Alligator mississippiensis: one gene and its partners. The protein of the gene in region 2 binds, or shares a complex with, the protein of the main gene of each other region. Links are inferred from orthologs where the notes say so. Each region holds a gene or a part of one and is shown on either strand. Other genes may lie near its edges. The genes, in order: LAMTOR4, FNIP1 and LAMTOR2.

The links.
Region 1: FNIP1 (region 2) and LAMTOR4 share a complex: the UniProt entries of both Homo sapiens proteins name them as parts of the lysosomal folliculin complex. The link is inferred for Alligator mississippiensis from reciprocal best matches to the Homo sapiens genes FNIP1 and LAMTOR4.
Region 3: FNIP1 (region 2) and LAMTOR2 share a complex: the UniProt entries of both Homo sapiens proteins name them as parts of the lysosomal folliculin complex. The link is inferred for Alligator mississippiensis from reciprocal best matches to the Homo sapiens genes FNIP1 and LAMTOR2.

The regions. Positions count from the first base shown.
Region 1 is NC_081838.1:23,516,292-23,524,135, forward strand, and holds the start of LAMTOR4 (ragulator complex protein LAMTOR4), read right to left. Parts: upstream 3,066-7,844; 5' UTR 3,024-3,065; coding exon 2,982-3,023; exon of another isoform or gene 2,952-2,981; intron 2,412-2,951; exon of another isoform or gene 2,146-2,411; intron 1-2,145. Other genes in the region: MBLAC1 (metallo-beta-lactamase domain-containing protein 1), read right to left, coding at 5,051-5,065, 5,179-5,368, 5,500-5,684, 5,881-5,946. UniProt on the Homo sapiens protein: As part of the Ragulator complex it is involved in amino acid sensing and activation of mTORC1, a signaling complex promoting cell growth in response to growth factors, energy levels, and amino acids.
Region 2 is NC_081832.1:68,196,411-68,204,096, reverse strand, and holds the start of FNIP1 (folliculin-interacting protein 1), read right to left. Parts: upstream 3,021-7,686; 5' UTR 2,938-3,020; coding exon 2,849-2,937; intron 1-2,848. UniProt on the Homo sapiens protein: Binding partner of the GTPase-activating protein FLCN: involved in the cellular response to amino acid availability by regulating the non-canonical mTORC1 signaling cascade controlling the MiT/TFE factors TFEB and TFE3.
Region 3 is NC_081838.1:17,227,787-17,235,809, reverse strand, and holds the start of LAMTOR2 (ragulator complex protein LAMTOR2), read right to left. Parts: upstream 3,026-8,023; 5' UTR 2,943-3,025; coding exon 2,941-2,942; intron 2,207-2,940; coding exon 2,114-2,206; intron 771-2,113; coding exon 608-770; intron 1-607. Other genes in the region: UBQLN4 (ubiquilin-4), read left to right, coding at 3,579-3,710, 4,390-4,541, 7,262-7,473, 7,574-7,836, 8,021-8,023. UniProt on the Homo sapiens protein: As part of the Ragulator complex it is involved in amino acid sensing and activation of mTORC1, a signaling complex promoting cell growth in response to growth factors, energy levels, and amino acids.

The DNA of each region.
Region 1 (7,844 bases), on a different chromosome or scaffold from region 2:
CGGGGCCCGGACGCGCAGCCGCTTCCGGGTTCTGGGGGCAGGGCTCGGCCGCGGGGCATCATGGGAGTGCGGGCAAGGGGGCTCCTGCCGTAGAGGATCACGGGAGTGCGGGCATGGGAGCTCCTGCCGCAGGGCATCACGGGAGGGCAGGCAAGGAGCTGGGGGGGGGCTCCTGTCCTGGGGTATCTTGGAAGTGCGAGTAAGGGGGCTTCAGCTGCAGGGCATCATGGGAGTACGGGCAAGGGGGCTCCTGCCGCAGAGGATCATGGGAGTGCAAGCAAGGGGGGCTCCTGTCTCGGGGCATCATGGGAATGCAGCTAAATCACAGGAATGCAGCCAAGGCAGCTTCCTGCCTCTGGGGATGATGGGAGTGTGGGTAAGTAGGACTCCTGCCCCAGGGCATTCTGGGAGTGCAGCTAAGGGCACAGGAGCCCCAGGGCATCATGGGAGCGCAGCCGGGGGACTTTCACTCCTCCCCCCCGCTCTCCTGTTCCAACCCGCGGGAACCCAGCCGCAGACCCCCTCCCAGGCCTGGGAAAGGGGCTCGAGCTGTGCAAGGGCATCGGCTGTGCCTCATCGGCACCGCTACAAGGAAGATTAACATCATCGACTATTTTTGTTAGGTGCAGCCGAAAACGTCACTGACAAGTGGTGCAGCCACAGGGCGTACGCAGGCAGGGGCACAGCCTGGCAGCGCAGACACCGGCGTCTGGCCATCAGCCTGTGGGGGGAAGGGGTATGGGGTCTGTGGGGGGCCCAGATGCCTAGGTTCTCTCCCCATGCGTGAAGGGTCCCAGGTGCTTGTGTTGTCCCCTGCACCGGCAGGATGGATTTGATCAAATCCATTGAAATTATGATTTAATTTGGGATTGAAATCTCTCATCAGGGAGTCTCGATTTACCCAGTGTTTTCTACAAAAAGCGCATTGCTGCTGGAGGTGCTGCAGAACAGTGTCGTGTCGTATGGAGAGGTCGACGTGCCACGAGACAGAGGGCTGCGTGTGCACGAGGGAGTGGGAAAAAGTGGAATAGGAAAGTCCAGCCCAGCCTGGCCCGGCACATCCTGCCACCAGAGGCGACCCAAACAGGGTGTGGGGCCCACGGGAAATCAGCCCATGCAGGGACCCACCCCCACTCTGGCCCAGGCCCAGCAGAAGCTACAGCAGCAGCAGGGGATAGCAAATGACTGGACACGGAGCCACCACTCCGCCCGACTCTACGCCACCACTGCTCCACCCAGCTCTGCGGGGCCCCCCAAAGCGCGGGACCCAGGGTGGTCACCCCGATTCGCCCTCCCCGAGGGACAACCCTGCCTGCCACAGCTCCTCTTAACAAGGGTGGCGCCTGTGTCAGATCCTATCCACAGTGCCCGAGTTATGGGAAACTGCCAGGTTTTGTCACCCAGACTCCTGGGGCCAGGGGTCTCCTGGCCAGGGAGTGGTGGCTGGGGGATGAGTGTCTGGGAGCCCGGAAACCTGAGCTGTGTGGGAGGGGGTGAGGGGAGGCTGCAGGGGTGAGAGCTGGCAGACTGGATGCCTGGGTTTCCTTGGCCTTTGGTGCTTGGAGGGTCCCAGTGCCCAGCAACCCTGTGACCCCCATTGTCTCCTGCAGGATGCAGCAGGGCCCATGGGCACTAACCGTCACAGGCACCCCAGCCCCATGGCCCTGGAAGCAGTGCTGGAGGCGGAGTTGTCCTCTAGGCAGGTGGCCGGTGCCCCCTGCAGCGAGGCCCTGCTGCCCTGTGGTGCCACCAGAATGGGAGCCCCATGGCTGTGTCGTGTTGCCAGATTTGGCCCTCAGTACATAGCCTGTGCAAGCTGCACTAGGACCCCCAAGACCTCCTAGAGCAGCACTGGGCTGGGGGCTCTTTGCCCTCAGGCACCTCTCACCCCTCTTCTCCTTCCCTGCCACCTGCCGCGGTCCCAGCCCCTGTGGCACTGCAGGGGATTATCGTGGACGTGGATGCCACTGGTACATACTCGGGACCCTGCCTCCCCCAGACCCGGGTGCAGGGGGACCTGCAGACACCCTTTAACAGGGTTTTGTTAGGTTGACGAGGGGGGCTGCTACCCCAGGGGATCATGGGAGTGTGGGCAAACGCATGGGAGCCCTAGGGGATACTGCCTCAGAGGCCTAGGCTTCTTACTGATTTATTGGTCCCATTTTCTGCACACAGTGACCAGCAATCCCTGACCCCCTAGGGGTAGTCGGCGTGGCGGGCCCAGGGCAGGCGAGTGCGCAGCAGCAGGAGGCAGGCAGTGGCTCCAAGGGCCAGCAGCAGCGCCAGGCCCAGCGCGATGTAGGCACCCGTGGTCAGCCAGAAGGCAAAGAGGTAGAGGCCACGGTGGCAAAAGTGTGGGTTCCCAATGGCTACGTACTCCGGTGGGTAGATGGAGTATACCCACACGTTGCCTGTGGGGTAGAGGTCATGGGAGGGCAAGGGTCAGTGGTCATGCAGGGGCAGAGTCAGGCTGCCTGGGGTGGGGCCAGAGGTCACTGCTGGGGGCAGTTCACAAAGTCACAGCTAGCTGGGAAGATGTAGGTGGGGAGTCAGGGGTCACACCCAACTGGGAAGGGGTCATTTCTAGAGAGAATTTCAAGGGGTCACAACTAGATAGGAACTGGGAAGTGCGACGGGGTCATACCCAGCTCTGGAGGTCAGGAAGGGGTCAGGGGTTACTGCTAGGGGGGAAATCAAGGGGGTCACAGCTAGCTAGAACATTGAGATGGGGGTCTAGAAAGGATCAGAAGTTATTGCTAGGGGGGACTTTGAGGGGTCACAGCTAGCTAGGAAGATGCAGGTAACGGGTCAGGGAAGGCCACAAGAGGTCAGAGGTCACTGCTGGAGAGGTGGGAAATGCAAGCTAGAGGGGCCTGGTATACAAGCAGCCCTATGAGAGGGCTGCCACTGAGAGATCAAAGGTCAAAACATCCCACTCCCTCTCTCCCCAGTGGACTCAGGCATCTGGGCCTGTGACTCACCAGCGATGAACCAGGCGAAGAGGAAGAGGAGGAAGAGCGCATGGCAGCCCCAGACTCCAGGCTTCACTGGGGGCGGCTCAGCCCCATCGCCACAGGGCAGGCAGGTCAGCATCAGGCTCAGCAGGGCCACGACCCCCATGCCCAGCAGGTAAACGGGCACCAGGGGCTGGCAGGGACACTGCCGCAGGTACACAGCCCCTGGGGGAGCGTGGGGTCAGTGAGGGGGCAGAAGGGGGGATCTGCACTGCCCCATTGAGGGGTTTGGACTCACCAACCGCAACACAGGCGACCGGGAGCGCCGACAGCACCAGCTTCCCCAGGCCTGGAAGAGACACAGGGTCAGGAGGAGCCTGGGGCAGGGGTCAGCCAGGGGGGACAGGGGGCACTTACAGGTCAGGGCAAGGGTCACAGGGGAATCCTCAGGGTCCCGCAACAGCGGCACGGAGCTGTCTTCAGGATCTGCAGCCATCGCGGGGCCTGGAGTGGGGGGGGGGGATTCGAGACAATGGGGACCCCCCTGGACTGCCCCCCCAGCCCTGCCAGTGCCCCTTGCTCCCAACCCACAGCCCCCTTCCCAGTTCTCCCAGTAACCTACTGGTCCCAGGTCAAAACTTCTACCTTTAATGAGTCTTTCCTGCCCCCAGGGCCGCCCCTTTATAGCCCCCACCCAGGAAGAGGCAGCTGAGGTGTGTGCCTTGCCCCTCGGCAATATAATTGGGGTTGTGTGGAAGCGAGGCCTTGTCTTAAATCCAGCTGTAGGTGTTTGGGCTCCCAGGCTTTGTTCTAAGCCCAGCCCCTTGCAGAACCCAGGCGTCTGGGCTCCCAGCCCCCACTTCTCTCACAGCCATCCCTTATCCCCTCTTAGACAGCAGGGAGAGGACCCAGCTCCTATCCTTTAGTTCCAGTTTCAAAGGGGAAGAAGTGGAGTCTTGCACATCAGAGTGGGAAGCCCAGATGCCTGGGTTCTCTAGGACAGCAGTGGCTGAGGGGTGAGAGCAGGGGGGGCTGGGCACCCAAATGCCTGGGTTCCCTTCCTGTAGCCACAGGCCACCACAGGCCGCCGTCGTTACTGCTGAGTGGGGCTGATAAAGAGTTCCTGTCACCAGATCTGTACAGTGGGGGAGGGGCGGGGGGGGGGCAGTCCCTGCCAGGCCCCGATCCAGGTGTCCTGGGGGGCACTGCATGGGGGGGCAGGGCAGGGGCCTTCCCTCTCCAGAGATTCCAGTAGCTGGTGGGGGTACTTGTAGCTCTGATATCCCCCAAGTGTACATGGAACGAGTCCTTCAGGTCTCAGCTCAGGTCCCACTAGGGCACTGCCCCCTTCTCCAGCCTTGATACCCCCACATCTGCCCCAGCCCAGCTCCATGGAGGTGAGTTGTGGGGGTTGAACAGGACCCAGAGAGGCAGCTCCCTGCTCTCCCACAGCACACACAGAACCCAGGTGTCCGGGATGCCCCCCACCAACTTCCCCCCGCAGTCACCTACCCGCCTCGGGGGGCTCCAAGCTCTGTGACCCCCCGCCAATGGCTCGGGGCAGAGCGGGCGACAGGACTGCCACAGCCACACAGCACAGCCAGGCCAACAGCTGAGCTGTGACTTCCTGCCCACCCCCTCCCCCCCGCTGCAGGAGAGGTGGGGCTGCAGGTCTGGAGTGAGGGGCACTGGTGGGGGTGGGGATGGAGGTGGGGCTGCGGGGCAGGAGTGAGGGGCACTTGTTGAGCTGGGGGTTGCGGGTTGGGAGTAAGGGGCATTTGCAGGGCTGGGGGGTCGGTGGTCAGGGGCACCACTTGGGCTGGCACAGCTGCGGGATGGGAGTGAGGGGCTCCAGTCAGGGAGCGGGTAGGTCACAGCTTCCTTCCCACCCCCCATCAATCCCCCCTCGTTCTCCACAGGCACCACACGACCCTTGGCCCTGTCCTGGGCTTTATTGGAGCCACAAGCAAGGTACAGCAGGACCCCCTCCCCGTACTCCCTTCCCAAAGTCGTCCTGGGTCCATGGTGCTTAGGGTGACCCTGGATGCCTGGGTACCCATGTGGGTCTGGAGCTGGGGGTGCGGCTCCAGTGCACCTCAGTGCTGCGTCGCCTGAAAGAGAAAGGAAGGAGGTGAGTCCCCATCTGTCCCTGTCACAGCCCGCGGCCAGCCCTGCAGGGTGGCTGGCTCTGGGGTGGGGCCTGCTGGGAATAAGAGGCACTCACAGGGCGCTTGCGGAGCCGGGGGCCACAGATGCAGCCAGCACAGCTGTTGAAGAACTGCACAGTGCAGAGCAGCAGCTCCAGCACGGCTCCCCCCAGGATCAGTGAGAAAAGAATGATGTTGAACTTCACCACGTCCGGCGGGTTGTGGCATTTCCCCCAGAGTTCCGGGTGGAACAGGTAGCTCGACTTCCTGCGGGGGGTAGGGGGTCACCCTGGATTGGCCCCCAAAGCCCAGCCAGTGCCCCTCACTCTTGACCCGCATCCCCTGCCTCTCCAGCCCCCCCACCGGTGCCCCTCACTCCCAACCCTCGCCCCCCCAACCTGAAGTCATCATCATCGTCGGACTTCCAGGGTGGGCCCTGGAAGGGCCGTCCCCAATCTGAGAGGTTGCCTTCGGGCAGGAGATACTGGCACAGGGGCCCGCGGACCAGTGCCAGCCCCGACACCGTCATGGCATAGATCGCACCCCCTATGCCCAGCACCGCCATCAGCATGGACAGGAACATCTGCAGGGGCAGGGGAGGGCTGTTAGCCAGGGGTGGGGGCAGGATCAGGATCAAGCCATCCGGTGCCCCTCACTCCTGCCCTGCAGCCCCTGCGCCCCCAGTATCCCTCACTCCTGACCTGCAGCCCCTCCCCCACCCTGCTGGTGCCCCTCACACCCAAACCCCAGCCCCTTGATTTAGGGCAGGGGTCTCTCACCCCGCAGCGGTTCCCGCAGCAGCCCCGATGCCCAGCTGCCTGGAAGTGGATGGCGGTGATCACAATCTGGAAGGAGAAGAGAGAAGGGCAAAGACCCTGGTCTGGCCTGCACCCCGCATCCCCTGGCTTAGCTCCCAGTCCCTCCCCATCTGCCCAGCGTCCCTCGTACCAACAGGCCGCCGCCAACAAGGCCACCCATGTACATCACCTCCGGGGTGAGGTGGGCGCCACCGCCATGCACAAACTGGGTCTCCCAGTTGGGGAAGAAGAGCAGCACATTGCAGATGGCGCAGAGTACAGCCAGGGGACAGAGCGCGGCTCCCAACACCCGCGAACAGGCCCCGGGGCACATGGTGGCTGCGGGGCCTGCTGGGGCTGCGGAATATATAGGTTGGGGGCGGGTGTGGCTGCTCCTGGAGTTTGCCCCACGGGCAAGATAGCAACTGCGGGGGCGGGGGGCTATGAAGGGAGGCTCCCCCAGGCTCAGATGCCTGGGTTCTGTGGGAGGGGAGGGGTTGGAGGGTGAGAGTAGAGGGGCCTAGATACCTGGGGGGGCAGGGGCTGGGACCCCACATACCTGGGTTCCTGATTGGCGGGGGGTGCAAGGGGGGTAGACAACACAAGTTATGACACTGATTATTTAACAAGCTTTTCTGTTCTCAGGGCTAAGGCCCCATAAATGCCACCTTTGCCCTACAGCCCTGGGTTCAACTTGTGGACCAGGGGGAACAGGTAGGGAGGAGGCACCCACAGACAACCCAGGGGCTGGGGCCTGGGCACCCCCCCCACCAGCTGCTCCCAGAGAGCCCAGGCATCCAGGTCTCCAGCCCCCTGCTCTCACTCCTCAGCCCCTCCCACCCCAGAGAACCCAGGAGTCCGGGGTCTAGGAGCTCCAGGTGCTGTGGCCTTGAGCTGTGACCTGCCATCAAGGCCTTGGCTCGATCGATTGGGGCAGGGACCAGGGGTTTCCTGTGGAACCCAGGCATCTGGGTCTGCTCAGGTCCTGGTTACAGGGTGGAGCAGCCCCTTGAACCCTGCCCCCAGGCCCAGGGGGTGGGGGGGTGCTATCTGCACATGCAGAACGCAGGCGTCCAGGACATGCCCCAACCTGGTGGCACAGACACACATGTGGGCCCCACAGGTCCAGGACACATGCGTGTGGCCTAGCCCTCACTATCATGCTTGTGTCTGTGTCCCTAGGTCAACCCCAACCCCCTCAGGAGTCCTGGAGGCCCCCAGCCCTTTTGGCACCGAAGCAGCCCCGGATGCCTGGGTTCTCTCCCCACTCTGGCTCCTCCATTCCCAGCCTGGGAGGGACCCTCCCATCGCCACCCACCCCCTCCCCTCAGTACCCTCACAGAGACCCTGCTGCCGACCACAGCCCTCCCCCACCTCAGTGCTGCACCGCAGCCCTCCCCCCCCCCCCCCCCAAGAGAGGCAGAACAGCTCAATTCTATGGTGTTTATTTGCCGCTCAGACACCTGGGGGGTGAGAGCAGAGGGGCTGGGGGCCCAGATGCCTGGGTCCTTCTGCCATCACCCCTCTGCCCCCCCAGGCTCTTTGGCACCCCCCCCATCCCCCCGCAGTACACGGAAGGGGGCACCATGTCCAGGTACCACCACATCGGCGAAGCCGAGCACCCACTGGCGGCTGTGCTCCTGCCGCGCTGGGTCCTCGCTCAGCCCTTGCCAGGAATCCTCATCCCCATGCCGCTCGAACAGGTCCCCAGCCACCACCACAGTGCCCAGCATTGTGCCCCGCACCACCACACTGGTGTGGGCGGCCACGTGGCCCGGTGTGGCCACCACTTCCACGTGCCCAGGGTCCAGGGCATGCGGCCGACCCTCCACCAGCCCCACAGGCAGGTACTGGTCAGCGCCTGGCGCGCTGCGGTCGAAGCCCACGAGCAGCTCGGCCGCAGGGAAGAGGTTGAGGTTGCCAGCATGGTCTGAGTGGCCATGGGT
Region 2 (7,686 bases):
ACGCGCTGCGTTCTACACTGCTCTCATTTCTCCAGTTTATCTCAGCTACAATTTCTAAAGGAGTCCAAGGAGCTGAGAGGCACTCTCATGTGTAAAGTACCTCACGTACCGACATTAAAATAGCTGCATTATGCATGCCAATAATGGATGACAATACAACCACTTGTGTAAGTGAAGCTGCTCATGTGTGGAACCACTTAAAGGATCAGGCCCTAACCTAGTAATTTATGGGCGCCTCATTATCGGACGCAAATCTCTTAAACTGCTGTTCGCACTCAGTTCTGAAGCTCTTCCCACAGTTTGATTTAAATCAGCCTTGCAAAATTATACTCAGTCACAGTAAATAAACTTTTCTGGCACGAGACAAGCAAGTAAAATATTGGTATAATTAAGATATTGGACATAAAAGCAAGCAGAATTTGTACCTTCACCGCTAAATTTTCATAACTTATCTGCAAGGCTGACTCAGATGCAAAATCTATACATAGCCAAGAAAGAATGAGTAACTTGTACTAAGCAACTCCAAAGCCACAGAGCAGTTACTGCATCCCGTACCTTCCCACCAGAATCACTCTTAAACGTTCTCTTTAACTGTCTGTTGTACATTTTTTTTTTAAAAGACCCAAACTGCAGTAACTTCATCTCAACCCTCAAGCACATCCAGCCCAAGATACCTTTTCAAACAGTTGCCCAAGTTGCTCTCTTAACCATATGGTCTGTTTTTTTCAATAGTGATGCTGATGGGCACTGATGGAGGCCAAATGTTTTTGAAAAGTTGGGCCACTTGCATAGGAACCCAGTAAAGATTTAGGGCTCTTACTCTCTTCCCATTAAACTCAAAGGCAAGCATCTCATTGAGTAGGCCCCTAGCATTATAAAAGCCAATCTCCCACTCTTGTTAATACAAAGATCACAGCTACGTATTGAAACTTTTCCTTCTGTACCACATTCTTCATAAGTTGCATGTATTTATCAATCCTTGCCATGTCCTTATTACCTATGGAATAAATTAAACACCTTGTATAATGGATATCTGCAGCAAAATGATAACTAGTACTAATAATGCCTCACTCAAATAAAACCCAGATCTCCTGCCTACTGGTACTTTAACCACAAAACCATCCTTCTCTTTCATAGTAATTTCATGTCAACATACTAAAAAAGGAGGGAAAAAAATTGAGGACAAGCTAGATATCTAAGTTCATGGTCAGTTGGCCCATATTAGAAGAAACCAAAGTTCTCATTTGAAAAAACGGGTCCAATTCTGCACACGTGCAATATCTGCAGCTTAGGCGTTACTTAAAAGTATCCATTTCCTCCATTTACAGCTTACAGGAACTTCAAGCATCCTTCAAGAGACAAAAGGTCTTTGCACTCCCTACAACGATGAGATTTTTTTTCTTTCATGGCATTCTTTACCGCAGGCCTGTTAAAAGTTTTATTATTGCGACGTATATTTTAATAAAGTATTATATTAGTAAGTGGCCAGCAGGATACCTTTTGACACTCCATATAGCCCATGCTTTTCTATTTAATGGTATGTTAGAAATACAACTTAACCTGAGCATCTGATCTTTCATATATGCATGTAAACATCCGTAATTGTATTTGAGGGGGAAAAAGGAGCAAGGGTCATTTTTAAGATGCGTATCTAGTTTGGGTAAAAAACAAACAAACCCCAAAAAATCCCAAAAGCAAACAAAAAAATAAAATAACTTTCTGTTAACAAAAAAGAAAAGAGCATAAGATAAATGTTACACTCAGGCGTCTTCCTTATAAATACATACAACTGTCACCTTCCCCTGCAGTAGGGACGAAAGCTGGTGAGTTATACACTACATAATAAAATGTTTATCACTAAGAAGTGTGTTGGCAGAGCAAGAAACGGCCTTTTCCCAGCTGACCAACTCAGGTGCCAGGTATGAGAGTGACACCAAGCCACTTCTTTTAACAAGGTATTGTGGCCCATCCAGCAAGTCAGTAAAGGATGGGAACCCCTCTGAAGGAAAAACGGCATGGAGATGCTTTGGCCGCTACGACAAACTCCCTTCAAGGTAGATTTCATAGGCGTTAGGTCTGCAAGGGACCTCCTAATATCACGGGGTGCAGCCCCCGCCCAAGAGGCCAGAAAGTCGGCTACAGGCTGACAGCCATTGCAATCGATCCTACGTTATTTCCAACATTTCCCACCAACTTTTGTAAGACTATAGGAAAACAGCGGATTTGCTTGACGGTGAAAAAACTGCGAGGTGCTGAAGCAACTAGAGCAACATGGTATGATTCAAAAAGAAATCACTCCAGCCTCCTGCTCACCCGCGGTTACAGCCGCTCACCCTGCCTCACCTCAGAGAACGCAAGTCGGAAAAGAGACCACGATCAACCGGGGAGGAGATGTTCCCACGCCCCAGAACCGGCACGGGTTACCCACGCCACAAAGAGAAAGGAAAAAAAAAAGATGTTTTGCTTGGTTACAAAACGACAGTCAACTGCAAAAAAGTTTTCTAGGCGTCCCTCTGCTATTTTCCTCGCGCGGCTGGGCTCGGCTCTGCTCTGGGAGGGGAGCCCTGCGAAGAAAAAACTTTTTTTCCCTGAGCCATCTTTTCAACTCATCTCGGGAGTGGTTTTTTTTAGGTCACAGCCTGCCTTTGCACTTCAGGGCGGGTAAGGAAGCGCCGAGCCCCTGCAGGAGCAGGGAGGTTTCTCCCCCCTTCCCTCAGCCTCCTGAGGGGGCTCAGCCCGGACAGCCGCCCCCGGCCCCAGGAATGGCGCCTGCACGGCCCCTCACGGGAGGCGCATCCCCGGGGCGGGGGAGCCGAGACCCGGCGGCGGACGAGGGGGGCAGCGGTACCTGAAGATACAGTCGTCGCGGGGGTCGCGGGCGGGCGGGCCCGGCCCCAGCTTCTTGCTGAAGAGCTTCTGGAAGAGCGTGGGGGACATGGCGGGACGCGCCCGACCCCGGGGCGGCGGCGGTGGCGGCTACTCCGGCAAGCCCGACTCCATTCGGGGCCGCGGTCATATGACGAGCCTGAGTCACTCGGCGCTGCCAGCGGGAGGCGAGGCGGGGCCGAGGGGAGGGGCCACGCCCCCAACCCCACAGGCCCCGCCCCCGCCTCCCAGCGCGGGAAAGGGGCGTCCGCACTCAGCCAGGTGCTGCCGCCGCCGCCGCTGCTTGTGGGGTGCGCGCGCCCCTCGCCTCCCCCCAGGCGCCGTGTCTGCGCCACCCCGAGGCCTGCCGGGCTGCGTGAATAGGAGCCTGTCTGTCTGTGTGTATGGACGTGCCGATTCGCTCTCACGCCAGGAGGCTTTTTATACCAAACATTTTTATAGTCTTAGGGGTGAGGTGGAGGCCTGCAGTAGTTGCTTTGGGTGAGGTGCACCAAAATTGCGTCTCCTGCGTGGATGTGCGCTCCTAGGTGAGGCGCGGAGGGTGCACGGGCGCCGGCTGCACAACCAGAAGTGCACGTCCAGTTTTGCCGCTGGTGGTTTTGCACTCAGCCACTGGGGGATTGGCTGCGGCGGGACCCTCCCCCATTGGCCATCTGGTGCTCCCCCCCCAGACTCGGGAGGGACCGGTCGCCCACGTCTGTGCTCCTTGATCATCTGCCGCACGCACTTCTGTAGTTGCCGGGAGGGCACATGCCCCCCCTGACAGCAACTGCTCCGGCTAGTAGCGGGGCATGGAGAGTGCTCGTGTTCCTCCTGAATTTGGCTTTGCCGGCAGCATGTCAGCGGCGGAAATGCTGGCAGGAGAAGTGCCGGCACTTCCACCACCACTGTGCCACATGTGGAAGTGCTGGCACTTCTGCCACCGGTGCACTCAGTGACCAGCTGCTAGGATACCACCCCCTCCCCCAGTCACCAGCTGGCTGCTGGGGGACCCCCCCCCCCCCAGTTGTGACCCACTGGCGCCCACCCCAGACTCGGGAGGCACTAGTCACCCATACACTAGCTTATTTCCTACCCCTCTCCCTGGTCCATCAATGAAGCCTTCACCATCCTCTCTTCACACTAAATGAACATTCACCACCCCCTTGTGCTTGTGTGCACTGTCTGCTGTTGGTGAGTACCAAAATGGTCTTGTAAAAGTGGTAGAAATGGGTCCGGGGGCCAGTACAATTGATGTCTTGGAGCATATCCCTATGTGTTACATTGTAAAGTAGGTTCCCTATATGTGAATTCAAGTTAAGCGCCGTTTTCCCGGAACGCATGTACAGCATAAAGTGAGGGAAACCTGTATATAGATATATACGTAGATGTGTGTATACATGTGAAAATATAGACTTGAATATAGGCAGACAAAGTTCTTCGGGTAAAATGTCATCCAGGAAAAGCACAGAACGACTGCTTTCTCAGCCTGACGAAGGGTGTTTGTACCTGAAAGTTTGCAAAGAAGACTTCTTCCAAGTATCTGAGTTGGTCTAATAAAAGATCTCAGATTTACACAAAGAAACTTGTCTGGCTTGGGTAAATGTGAGATCTTTTATTAGACCAACTAAATTAGACAGACTTGAATATACATGAACATGGAAATATATATACATATATACTATGTACAAGTATACATATATACTATATGTAGTATATATACATTAACATTTGTATAATTATACATACACATACATATGTATATATAATGTGTATATAATTATACAAATCTGTGTGTGTGTATTATAGAGAGAGAGTAATACACACACACACATATTAATATTTCCAAAAATCCTTGTGAAACCCCACAGAGGGGCTCAGGAGCAGCACCTGCCGTCATTTAAAACTAATTTTGCATCTCACCTCCTCTGCAAACTAAAAATTGCTTCAGTGGGCCCTTCCTAAGATCACTGAAGATTGCTAAAGAAAGATTAAGTCTAATAAAGGTCTCTCTTTTATAAGTAGCTACCTGTAGGCAAACTGCCACACCCAGACAACGGCTCTTGACTTCACTGGTTCTGTCCATTCAGACATGCATACAGGTTTGCGGCCTCAGATATCCTCAGCCTTTAGAGGACTATAAGGAAATATCCACCTATACACAATAAGCTTTATTACATATAAAAGTTGGTGGCACAAAGACCCCATAATACTCAAAGAAATAATGCGGGGGGAGGGGGAGAAGAACTTTTCCTTCCATCTGTGAATACCTATAATCAAAACCAGTTCTTTGTAATTTAATTTTTAGATTATAAGAATCATCTTGCCTTCAATTCTAATATTGAAGGAAGGGGAGCAGGAAGGGGGCCCTGACAATAGCTGGCAGGGATGGGGGGGAGGGAGAGAGGCTGTGTGGGCCCAGGCAGGCATGGGGCAGGGGGAGGCAAAGGGGAGGGTCATGGTGGTGGCTGTTGTCAGGGAAGGGAGGGAGGGAGGGAAGCGAGAAGGGAAGAGGGGTCACAGTGGTAGCGCCCCCCCCTGCCCCCATAACAGCCGGCAGGGAGAGAAAGGCGACGGGGAGGGAAGGAGGGGAGCAGGGAGAAGCCACTCTGCAAGGCAGAGATGGGTGGGGGAGGGAGCCCCCGTGTCAGAGGCTGGAGGAGAACGCGGTGGCGGGAGTTTTTACATGGCCAGCCCCAAAGGGTGAGCAGGGGTGATGGGGGGCCATATAAACACTCTCTGAAACCCATCATTCTTGATGGACAATTAGCTAGTTTGCTTATAAAGATCTAATAAGTATTAGGCCAAACATATCTAGTATATGTTATATTAGTAAAAATAGTTAAAATACACATTTTCCAGCAATTCAATCATTTTAGTGTAGTTCTTACATGACTCATCTGAAATGGCTCCACTACATTAATTCAGAGAGATATTTAAGGCCAAAATTTATGAAGCCATCTCATTAACTTCACTGAATAAGAACTGATGCTCAGTTAATCTGTTAAGCAGTATCCATGTAAGACTGTGACCTATAACCTTTACCCACTGGTACTGAAGAACAACTTTCCACTTCCACTGAAATTTAATGCAGTCACTTTTACCAGAAGGCAAAAAAAAAAAATAAAAAAAAAAATGGGGAAATGCCTAATCTCTGACAAAAACCAAACAGAACAAGAGCAGACATTGTTGCATGCAGAGAATTTCCATCTCTGGGCACAGAAACAGCTGGCCTGGCAACTGACTGCTTGTAATAAAACTCTCCATTAGAGTCAAGGAAAGAAGGAGATTATTACAGAAGTGCAACTATATGGAGGGAAAAGAAAAATTTCAATCACAGATTCACAGAAGTTTCGGGCTGAAAGGGACCTTGTGAGATCATCGGGTCCAGCCCCCTGCTCTGGGCAGGCAGAGAAGAGCCATTCATCCGATTAGAGGCCTAAAGAGCAAGCCTTACGAGGAAAGGCTGACAGATGTAATAACCCACCAACCTGTGCATCCAGTCTCCTTTTGAAGATCTCCAAGGTAGGCGCCTGCACCCACCCCCATTGAGAGTCTATTTCAGAGTCTGGTCACATGAATCACGAAGAAGTTTTTCCTTATATCCAGTCTGAAATCTTCTTCTAGGAGTGCGTGACTATTGCTCCTGGTTTTCCCCTGGGGCGCTTTGGTGAATAGTTGTTCGCATCGCCCCTGATGCTCTCTGCCGATATATTTGTAAGCCGTCACCAAATCCCCCCAAAGCCTTCTCTTTTCTGGGCTAAACAGTCCCAAATCCCTCTCCCTTCCCCAGTCCTGCAAATTCCAGGCAAATGAGTGACTGCCCATAACAAGAAACTGCGCTATTGGACAATTTTGTGTGTGTATTCTGTCAAATTTTATGCTGGTATCTCCAGCCTTAGAGAGTAGGGCTGCCTACAAAACTTCTCTCAACACTGTAGTTCACTCATTCTTTTGCTTCTAATGACATTTGCATGAGATTACATTCTTGATTGCAAACACATGTTATTTGCCTGCCCATTCCAGGCACAAATCCCAGTCTGTCCCCATCTCATTCTGTGCTGAGAGGTTGACTCTCGCTTCCAGTTGGCCTTTGATGTTGGCCCCATCATTGACTTGCTTGATTTTCATGCAAGCACATTCATATTTTCTCTCACAGTATTCTTCATGCCTGGAAGAGCTCCTCATAGACAGGCTCAATGTTCTCTCTCTACTCTCTTTTACAGCAAAGCCTGCAAAAAAACTGGGCAATGCATAGGCCTTTGATGTACTATAACTACTGCTTGTCTTCTGTTGTCAGTCTCTATCGGTCTGTTTTCTCTTGTTTCGTACTTGCACTGGTAACTTCTTTGAACATCTTTTATTTAGGGTTTGTGAAATGCCTGGCACAATGGGGTCCTCGTTTTTGACTGCAGCTCTGGGACATCACATTACTTCAAAAAACAAGTTAGTATGAAAAATAAAGTATGGTGAAATGCGTTGCCCTGCAAGTCTTACCAGATGCATAGCTGAAACAAAATGTAGAATTCAGTTAAGGAGCCAGACTAACTAAACTTACCAGTTGTTCAAATCTTCCCATGTGTACAATTTGTTGGTTTTTTTTAAAAAAGGAACTTATGATTTGTAGCAGCTAGCATAATGGGAACTGGTCTCAGCACAGAAAGCTATCACATGCAGTAATGGAACACATTCTTCAGTGGGAAACAACTTTTACAGTGGCTTCATTTTAACCTTTTTATTTAGACATTTGAAATCAACAGTTCTATCAGGCCCTTTGCTGTTTACTGGTTATAGTTGGACATAAGTAAAAACTGATCTTTG
Region 3 (8,023 bases), on a different chromosome or scaffold from region 2:
GGCTCGCGGCATCTCGAGGCCCTGCTCTCCCTCATCAAGATACCAAGGAGTCGTTGGGAAGATAGCGTGGCAGAGGGGTTAAGGGCCCTCGACTCAGATTTTACTCCTGTTTTGAGAAGGGCCTGCAAAGCAGCCCAACCAGGCCCTTCCCCTTTCTGTGCCTCAGTTTCCCCTCAATCTGCAAGACTGAGGCTGGCCTGTCAAGTGGTTTGAGGTCTACGGATGAAGAGTGCTCGATGCTGCTACTGCCTGTATGCAGTCCTTTACGCTATGCCAAAGTCAGGTCACACTTGTAAGCCTGGGCCTTGTTTTAGCTGATGTTTACACACCCACACCCTTTACTCCAAGTGGCAGGTGCAAAGTGCTCCCCTGTTTTGATGTTCTACTTCCCAACAATTAGCATTTCCATCAGGGAGATCTCAAAACACTTGAATAAAGCTCACTGGTCCCCACAACAAGGCACATACCAGACCCATTTTACAGATGGGAGAAACCAAGGCAGGAAGAAGCCACCCACTGGGTGCCAGGATCTCATGTTCAAGCTGCCTGGGTTTATCCCACCTTCCTGCCAGGAGTCCACCGACACCCCCACCCCCAACCCAGGTACCATGCAGTCCATCAGGATGAACTTCAAATTGTCTTCATTGAAAGCCTGGTGCCCATTCTTGTCATAGGCCACCCAGATGTTGCTGGCGATGGCAGCTGTGACCCTGGCGTCTGTGTCTCCGTAACCAGAATATGCCAGCAGCGAGCCCTCGTTGTTCAGAAGCCTGGAAAGGAGATGCAGGGAGGAGACAGACTTGAACCCCCATATGCACAGCCCCCAGGGTCCCACGCAGCCTCTCCAAAGTCACAAGTATCCCAAGTGTGACCCCTCCACCCCAAGAGGGAAGTAACCAGCACCCTCCCCTCCCTTTAACACAATACCACCCAGGCAGGTTATACCTTCAGCTGTAAGTGCATCACCCCATGTGTGAAAGAAGATCACCGTCTTATTATTATTATTCAAGGCCGAATCCTTTCCAAATTCAATCGTGAAAGCCCAATAATCAAGTATCAAGATTCAACTGAGCAAAGCTCAATTGTCAAGTCTGCGTGACTCTACCACTGGGCAAGTGTCCTCCTTCCTGGACCTATCGGTCTGGGGCTTCAGAAGCTCCCCAAATCCAGGCAGGCATCCTACATAAAAGCTACAGAAGCCTTGGGGTTTACATTATAAAAAAAAAGAGGGTGGGAAGGGACCTCAGGAGGTTACATCTGGTCCATGTCCCTGCTGAAAGCAGGACCAGCCCCAACTACATCATCCCAGCTGAGGCTTTGTCCAGCTGGGGCTCTTAGCCATAAAGAAGATCGGCATCTACCCAGCTCCAGGCAACCTCACCAGCTCCAGGACCCGCGCCCCTGATGGTATGTTTTCTTCCTGCCTGTTGCAGCAACCTTGAAATGCAAGGAAGCCAAGGCATCTTTGGCTCTGGGGTGCAACTGGGGAGGTGGGAAAAGATTCCTATGCCCTTAGCTTTAAGGCTGTTGGTTGTAGCCGTGTCGGTCTAAGGACATAGGCAGACAAGGTTCTTTGGGTAAACGTGTTATCTTTTATTTGGCCAACGAAATAGTTGGAAAAATTGTTCTTTGCGAGCTTCTGAAGAAGGGTGTTTATACCCAAAAGCTTGCAAAAACAAATTTTTTCCAAGCATTTAACTGGTTGAATAATAAAAATCAATCAATAAATCAAATTTACCTAAAGAAACTTGTCTGCCTGTGCCCTTAGCAGTGTCTCACGTCAATGCATGCAAGAACGGGCAGAGCTGGAACGAGCCTGGTTGCACTTCAGCAAACCATGCACAGGCACATCAATGCAGCTAGTCCTGCAAGCTAGTGCCCCAGCCCCCCTGGGCAGGGAGAAGACAGGATTTAGGGGCTAGGCTGGATTACTGCTTTTTACGGCACACTAGGCTGCATTATATGGCTCCTGGCAGGGATGGAAACCAAGTGGTGCCTGTTTCTATCCTGAATTAGGAAGAGTACAGAGGAAGGAGGCTCAGAGGTACTGAGCTGTGCCCCAGGCTTTGGAGACCCCTTTCATCCAGCCACCCCCCGACTCCCCCATACTCACAGGGTGCTCTGGACCCCCCCGGTGTTGGCCTGGCTCAGCACCTGGGTGAGGGCTTTGGGGCGCAGCATGGTCACCACCGCACGGCTCTTGGCCCTGCAGCAGGGAGGAGAGGAAGGCAGACAGCTCTGAGCTCTGCTTCCCCATCAGCTGATGGCCCCTGGGCGCCCGGAGCAGCCTGGGAGCTGTAGTCCTGGCCTGGCTTCTGCCGAGTCAGGCCCACATGCGACAGGCGCAGGCATTGCATGGCCCTGCCAGCAACTCAGGCTTGCAAGGCAGCTGCAGGCAACCTCCAGGACAGGAGCTAGGCACATGGCCCACACAAAGATCTTGCTGTCCACCCCCCAGCCCTGCCAGCTCAGTTCAGTTTCCCTTTTTAAAAAGCAGAAACATTGCTTAGAGTTACCATATGTCCGGGTTTTCCCAGACACGTCCTCGTTTTGGGTCCTCTGTCCAGGCAGTTTTTTAAAAATATGAACAAATATCTGGGATTTTGCTCTACTCAGCATCATTTTTTTTTTCCCCCTTGGCACTTCCCAGCAAGGAGCTGTTTGGGGCTGGGAGGAGCAGGCGAAGGGCAATTGGAGGCAGCGCTAGGGGGCTGCGGGTTGGGAGTGAGAGGCACCAGCATGGCCTGGGGGTGGGCAGGGGCTGAGGGTCAGGAGCAAGATAGATAGATAGGCACACATACACTGAAATATATATTTCTATCTTAACAAGACCAAAATCCTGCTTTAACCCCATGGCAGGCACAACACGGCTGCATCTCCAGCACAGACGCTCCCAAACAGCCATGAGATCAACCCCCTTCGCACCCCACCGCTACTTACATTTGGGAGCTGGTGATGTGAAAACAGAGAAATGAATGCTCTGATTAATCCCCACATCCAGGTCAGCTTCCCTCCGGCCTGGCTGCAGCATTTTACAGCTCCTTTGCAACCGCCTTGAGCCTGGGGAAGGGGCGGTGGGTGGGTGTGAGCTCTCCAGCTGGCAGCCCTTAGGGACAATCAGCCCCTGGCTACCCAGAAGCTAGCCCCTTTTTCAGAGCAGCTTCTCCGTGCCTCAGTTTCCCCTGTGTCACTTACGGAGCAGAGTTGCGAGGATTGAGAGGGGAGGGGGGCTCATGGAGCTCAAGACAGTCACCAAGGGCCATGCATACCCTTCCCCACATCCAGCACGCCTCTCCCCCCAGGGGCATGCATACCCCCTGCACACAGCGTGCCTCAGTTTCCCCACCCAGATGCATGCATACCCCCATGCACACACACAGTGTGTCTCAGTTCCCCCCGCAAGGGGCATGCACAGCCTCAGTCTCCCCACCAAGCCCCTCCACTCCACCTCCCCTCGCCCGCAGTTCCCCGCCGCGCCGCCAGGGGGCGCCGAGCTCCCCGCGCCCCCCCCCGCGCCGCCGGGGGCCGCTCTCCTGGGCGGGGGGCGGGGCCGGGCCGGGCCGGGGCGGGCGGCCAAGATGGCGGAGCCGAGCGGGCCCGGCGCGGAGGGCGCGGAGCCGGGGCCGGGTGCGGCGCTGATCCGCGTCACGGTGAAGACCCCCAAGGACAAGGAGGAGATCGTCATCGGCGACGGCGCCTCCGTGCGCGAGGTGCGGCCTGGGCCCGGGGCCCTGAGGCGGGGGCGGGGGTAGGGCCAGGGCCGCGCGGGAGGTTTTGCCCCGGGCGGGGGGGTCGCCCCGCGAGCAGGCCGTGGCCGGGTTGGGGGCGGGGGCGCCGAGCCAGGACGCGGGGCTCGGGCCGGGGGGGCGCGGGGGCGAGCGGCGCATGGCCAGGCGGGCGCGTGTGGACGAGGCGGAGCCGGGCCTGTCCTCGGAGCCGCGTCTTCACGGGCGGACGTGCCGAGCCGGGGCAGCCTCCCGCGGACGGGATGGTCCTCCCGCGGCGCCGCGAGGCCGTCGGCTCAAAACCCGAGCGTCCTCGTGGGAGTCGGAGCCAGAAACGGGGCCGCCTGCTTCGCTCCGGCATGCTTTCTGCGGTGCCGGCCAGCGGCGATGATCCGGTGTAAACGGGGCCCGTAATCCTCGGCGTAGCTGCTTTTCACGTTAAGGCCGTTGCGCTCTGCTCTTGCAAAGCTCGCCTGCACGAGCCGAACGGGCGAAGGATGCACCGTCGCCCCCTGAACCACCTCAGAAACCAGCTCGGCCCCGGGGATGCTGCCCGGTGTCCTTCGGACCGCGCGAAGGCTTGTTCCCAGCGCTCCTGTAGCCTCTCGGGCAGACTGGAAAGCGCCTCGGCCTGAGAATTGCCTCCTTTTGTCTTTGTCCCTAGTTCAAAGAAGAAATCTCCAGGCGGTTTAAAGCCAAACAGGATCAGCTGGTTCTGATCTTTGCGGGGAAGATCCTGAAGGATGGAGACACGTTGAGCCAACACGGGATCAAAGATGGACTGACTGTGCACTTGGTGATTAAGACCCCACAGAAGTAAGAAATCGTCCTTTCCCGGGGTTTTAGGAAATGACGCCGCGTGTTTGTGAGTTCCTGGCCGTCAAGCGTACGAGTTCAAATTCGGGGGGCTGCGGGACTTTGCTCTAATTGGGTCTTGGCTCCCGGGCTCCTGGGTTTCATAAAGCTTTGCAGAGTTGACGTGCTTTGAAATCTTACGAGTATTAGTTGTTGCGTGTAAGAACCTATTAAAGCAGGGATTTCTCCGGGTGACAGGGCGGATATGGAGATTATTTCACTTGCTCACAGCCATGTGAAGCCAAAACCTTGCGCTCCAGGGTCCCCGTGGCTGCGGGGTCCGGCCGTCCTGTGCGCTGGGAGATCTTTCAGCAAGAGGCGTTCAGTGAGTGTAGGGTATTATCAAGAGCACGTAACGACGTTTTTGGGGGTAACCTTTCAGGCAGACCAGAGACATGGGGTGTAGATCAACATACTGGAAAGCTGCTGCTGGGTGACTCTTAAGTTATAGTTGTCTAATGATTCCTGGTGCCGTTGCCGCGTTACAGATGCAAGCAGGCCTCCTTGTTCCTAACGGCCCTTTCCCACCATTCCTGGGACTCGTCTTTCCATCTGAGCAGTGGGCGTCATTAAACAGGCTCACGCTCCTTTTGAAGCTGTGTTGTCCCCCACCAGGAGCGCCTCCTCCCTGGCTTATTAAAAATCAGTACCTCTTTTCTGAAGCCACACGAATTGTCAGCTACTGTTGGAGGCTTTTGTACAGAACAGTACCTGTGCACGGAGCGTGCTGATGCCATGCTGCTTCCCGCTGTCTCCGCGATAAACTTCAGCACTTGCAAACTGTCTCCTGGGGTAAACTAAAAACTGGCCCATCATTCATTTTTGTCTTTCTAATGGTCACCAGCATGTGTGCATCGCAGCCTTTCCTTCCTGTGCTGAGAGAGTCCAAGTGACCCTGATCTTTCTTCTTTTTTTTTCTTTATTAAACTTCCTATTTCCCATCTGCTTGGCTTCTCCCCAGTCTCCCTGACTGCAGCCGCTGCTGTGGTAGCAGCGAAATTAGTTTGTAAAATGCTTGGGATTAAAAATTGCCATGGAAAGTTCCATGGAGGCAAAAAAATCCTCATCCAACAATTTCTGTGCTCCCGGTAGCCGCAAGCCTGCTCCCTGGGTAGTTATTCTGAAGTATTTTTCCTAGGGCAAGCATCTCACAGCAGCTGGCTAGGCATGCTCTATTTCAGCTGCTTTTGGAGGGGAGGCTGAGCGAATGGAGGTGGATGGCAGAGAGATCTCGGCAGGCTGCAAGGGGAGAAAGGCTTTCAAAGCAGCTGGCCAGCTGTGATTTCTTTCCAAGACACTGCCCATCTGCAGTTTCAACCCCTTTAAGGGCCACCTCTGCAGATTCTCCTTTCCCAGTCTCATTGCTTTCCCCCCGCACTCACAGCTTTCCCATAAGGTTTTTGTCTCTCCTTTTAGAAAGGCAGTCAGCCTTCCTTTCTGCTCAGTGCAAGGAGCTACCTCCCTGCAGTCTGTTCAGGTACTGGGGGCAGCAGGTTCTCTTGCCGAGCGGGCAAGGAAGGTATTAACCCTTCTTTGTGGTTGAATGGCCAGTTTATGGGAAGGGGGCATCATTTGCAAACCACCTGATGGTTCCACATTCATAATGGCATTGATATGCACTGTAGCCCCCTTTTTCAGATGAGTTGCTGGTAGTTCCAGGGCTCATGCCCACCTTCCCATTGGGGATTGGGACTTTAACTGCTTTTGGGTTTTAAAGTGTCCTTTCCCTCCCATTGCTGTGTGAGAGAGAGAAATGAGGAAGGGAAACTAGCAAAGCTAGAACAGCTGTGGTAGCAAATGGCTTCTCACCCTGCCAGTGTGGGTGTGTCCTCTTAACCTTAACAAGCTTGCTCATGGATCTGACTAAGCTTGGGTGCAAGTTTCTGCAGCATCAGGGCCTTGCTTCTCTCCCATTTCTACTTATAATATGCCCTGTTGGTTGAAGAGAAAAGAACATGAGAAAGTCAAGCTGGAAGGGACCTTATACGGTCATCTAGTCAAGCCCCCTGCTCAAGGCAGGATCAGCCCTGACTCATATTCACAGAAGTTTAGGGCTGGAAGGGACCTCGTGAGATCATTGGGTCCAGTCCTCCTGTTCTTGGCAGGAAAGACCACTGGGGTCAAATAACCCCAGCAAGACTCAGCCATCCCAGCCCAGTGTCTGTCCAACTTGCCCTTAAACATTCCCAGGGATGGAGACTCCCCCACCTCTCTAGGTGCCTGTTCCAGTGCTTGACCACCCTCCAAGTCAAAAAATTCCTCCTCATCTCCAGCCTAACTTGCCCTGTTGCAGCTTAAGGCCATTGTTCCTAGTCCTGTTCCCTGCAGCCACAGAGGAAAGCCCATCTCTGTTATATGTGGTGTAAAAGCCTGTTATACATGGTGCAGTCAAATGGGTCAAGAATGCTGGTAACCAACTAGTTGCTTTTTTGATATATAACACAAAAGTCAGTGCCTGCTTAGGGACCAGTCTTCTCTGAGGTGCGTTGACTGAGTTAAGTATATACCAACATCGCTTCTCTTCTCATTGCCTTGGGTGAGAGCAGGTTGTTTTGGATGTGATGGCTCTACATCCCCCTTGACCGGAGGTGGTCACTCCCAGCTTCTTTTCTTGAACTGCAGAAGGGAACCGGCTGTGTGAGTTTCCCTGCCGCAGCGGTGACTGTCTCTTCTCTCTTTAGGGTTCCAGATCCTTCAGCTGCTGCTGCCTCTGCTACTTCTGCTGCTGCCTCCACCCCTGCTGCAACACCCGCCTCTCCTGCTGCCCCATCTCAGCCTTCCACGTCCAGCAGCGCCGGCTCCGATGGGGGAGGTGGCAGCCGGCGGAGCAGTGGGTCGGGGACCACGGGGGGTGCTGGAAATGGAGCACCCAGCAACCCTGCATCCATCCTCTGTGAGTGATGTGGTTGGTTTCTCTGCCCGTATAGTTCAGCCTATGCATCCCTCTTTTTCCCAGCTGAAAGTGCTTGTCCTGATAGTCTGTCTCTCTCCAGCGGGTTTTGGAGGCATCACTGGCCTCGGCAACCTCGGGATGGGCTCCGCCAACTTCATGGAGCTCCAGCAGCAGATGCAACGGCAGCTGATGTCTAACCCGGAGATGCTATCCCAGATCATGGAGAACCCCCTGGTGCAGAACATGATGTCTAATCCTGACCTGATGAGGCAGATGATCATGGCCAATCCCCAAATGCAGCAGCTCATGGAGAGGAACCCTGAGATCAGCCACATGCTGAACAACCCAGAGCTGATGAGGCAGGTGGGTGAGAGGGTCGAGGTCCAGAAACCTGCCTCTGAATCCTTCCCTGTGGGCCTGAGACTGAGCTTTCACCATTTCAGTGCTTGTCTCTAGGATGCTACCGAGCCGTTTAGCCCATAACAACGCGTGCTGGAGTCTTTTATGGTGCAAACTGCCCTGATCTTCCCAAACTCTCCTCCCACAGACG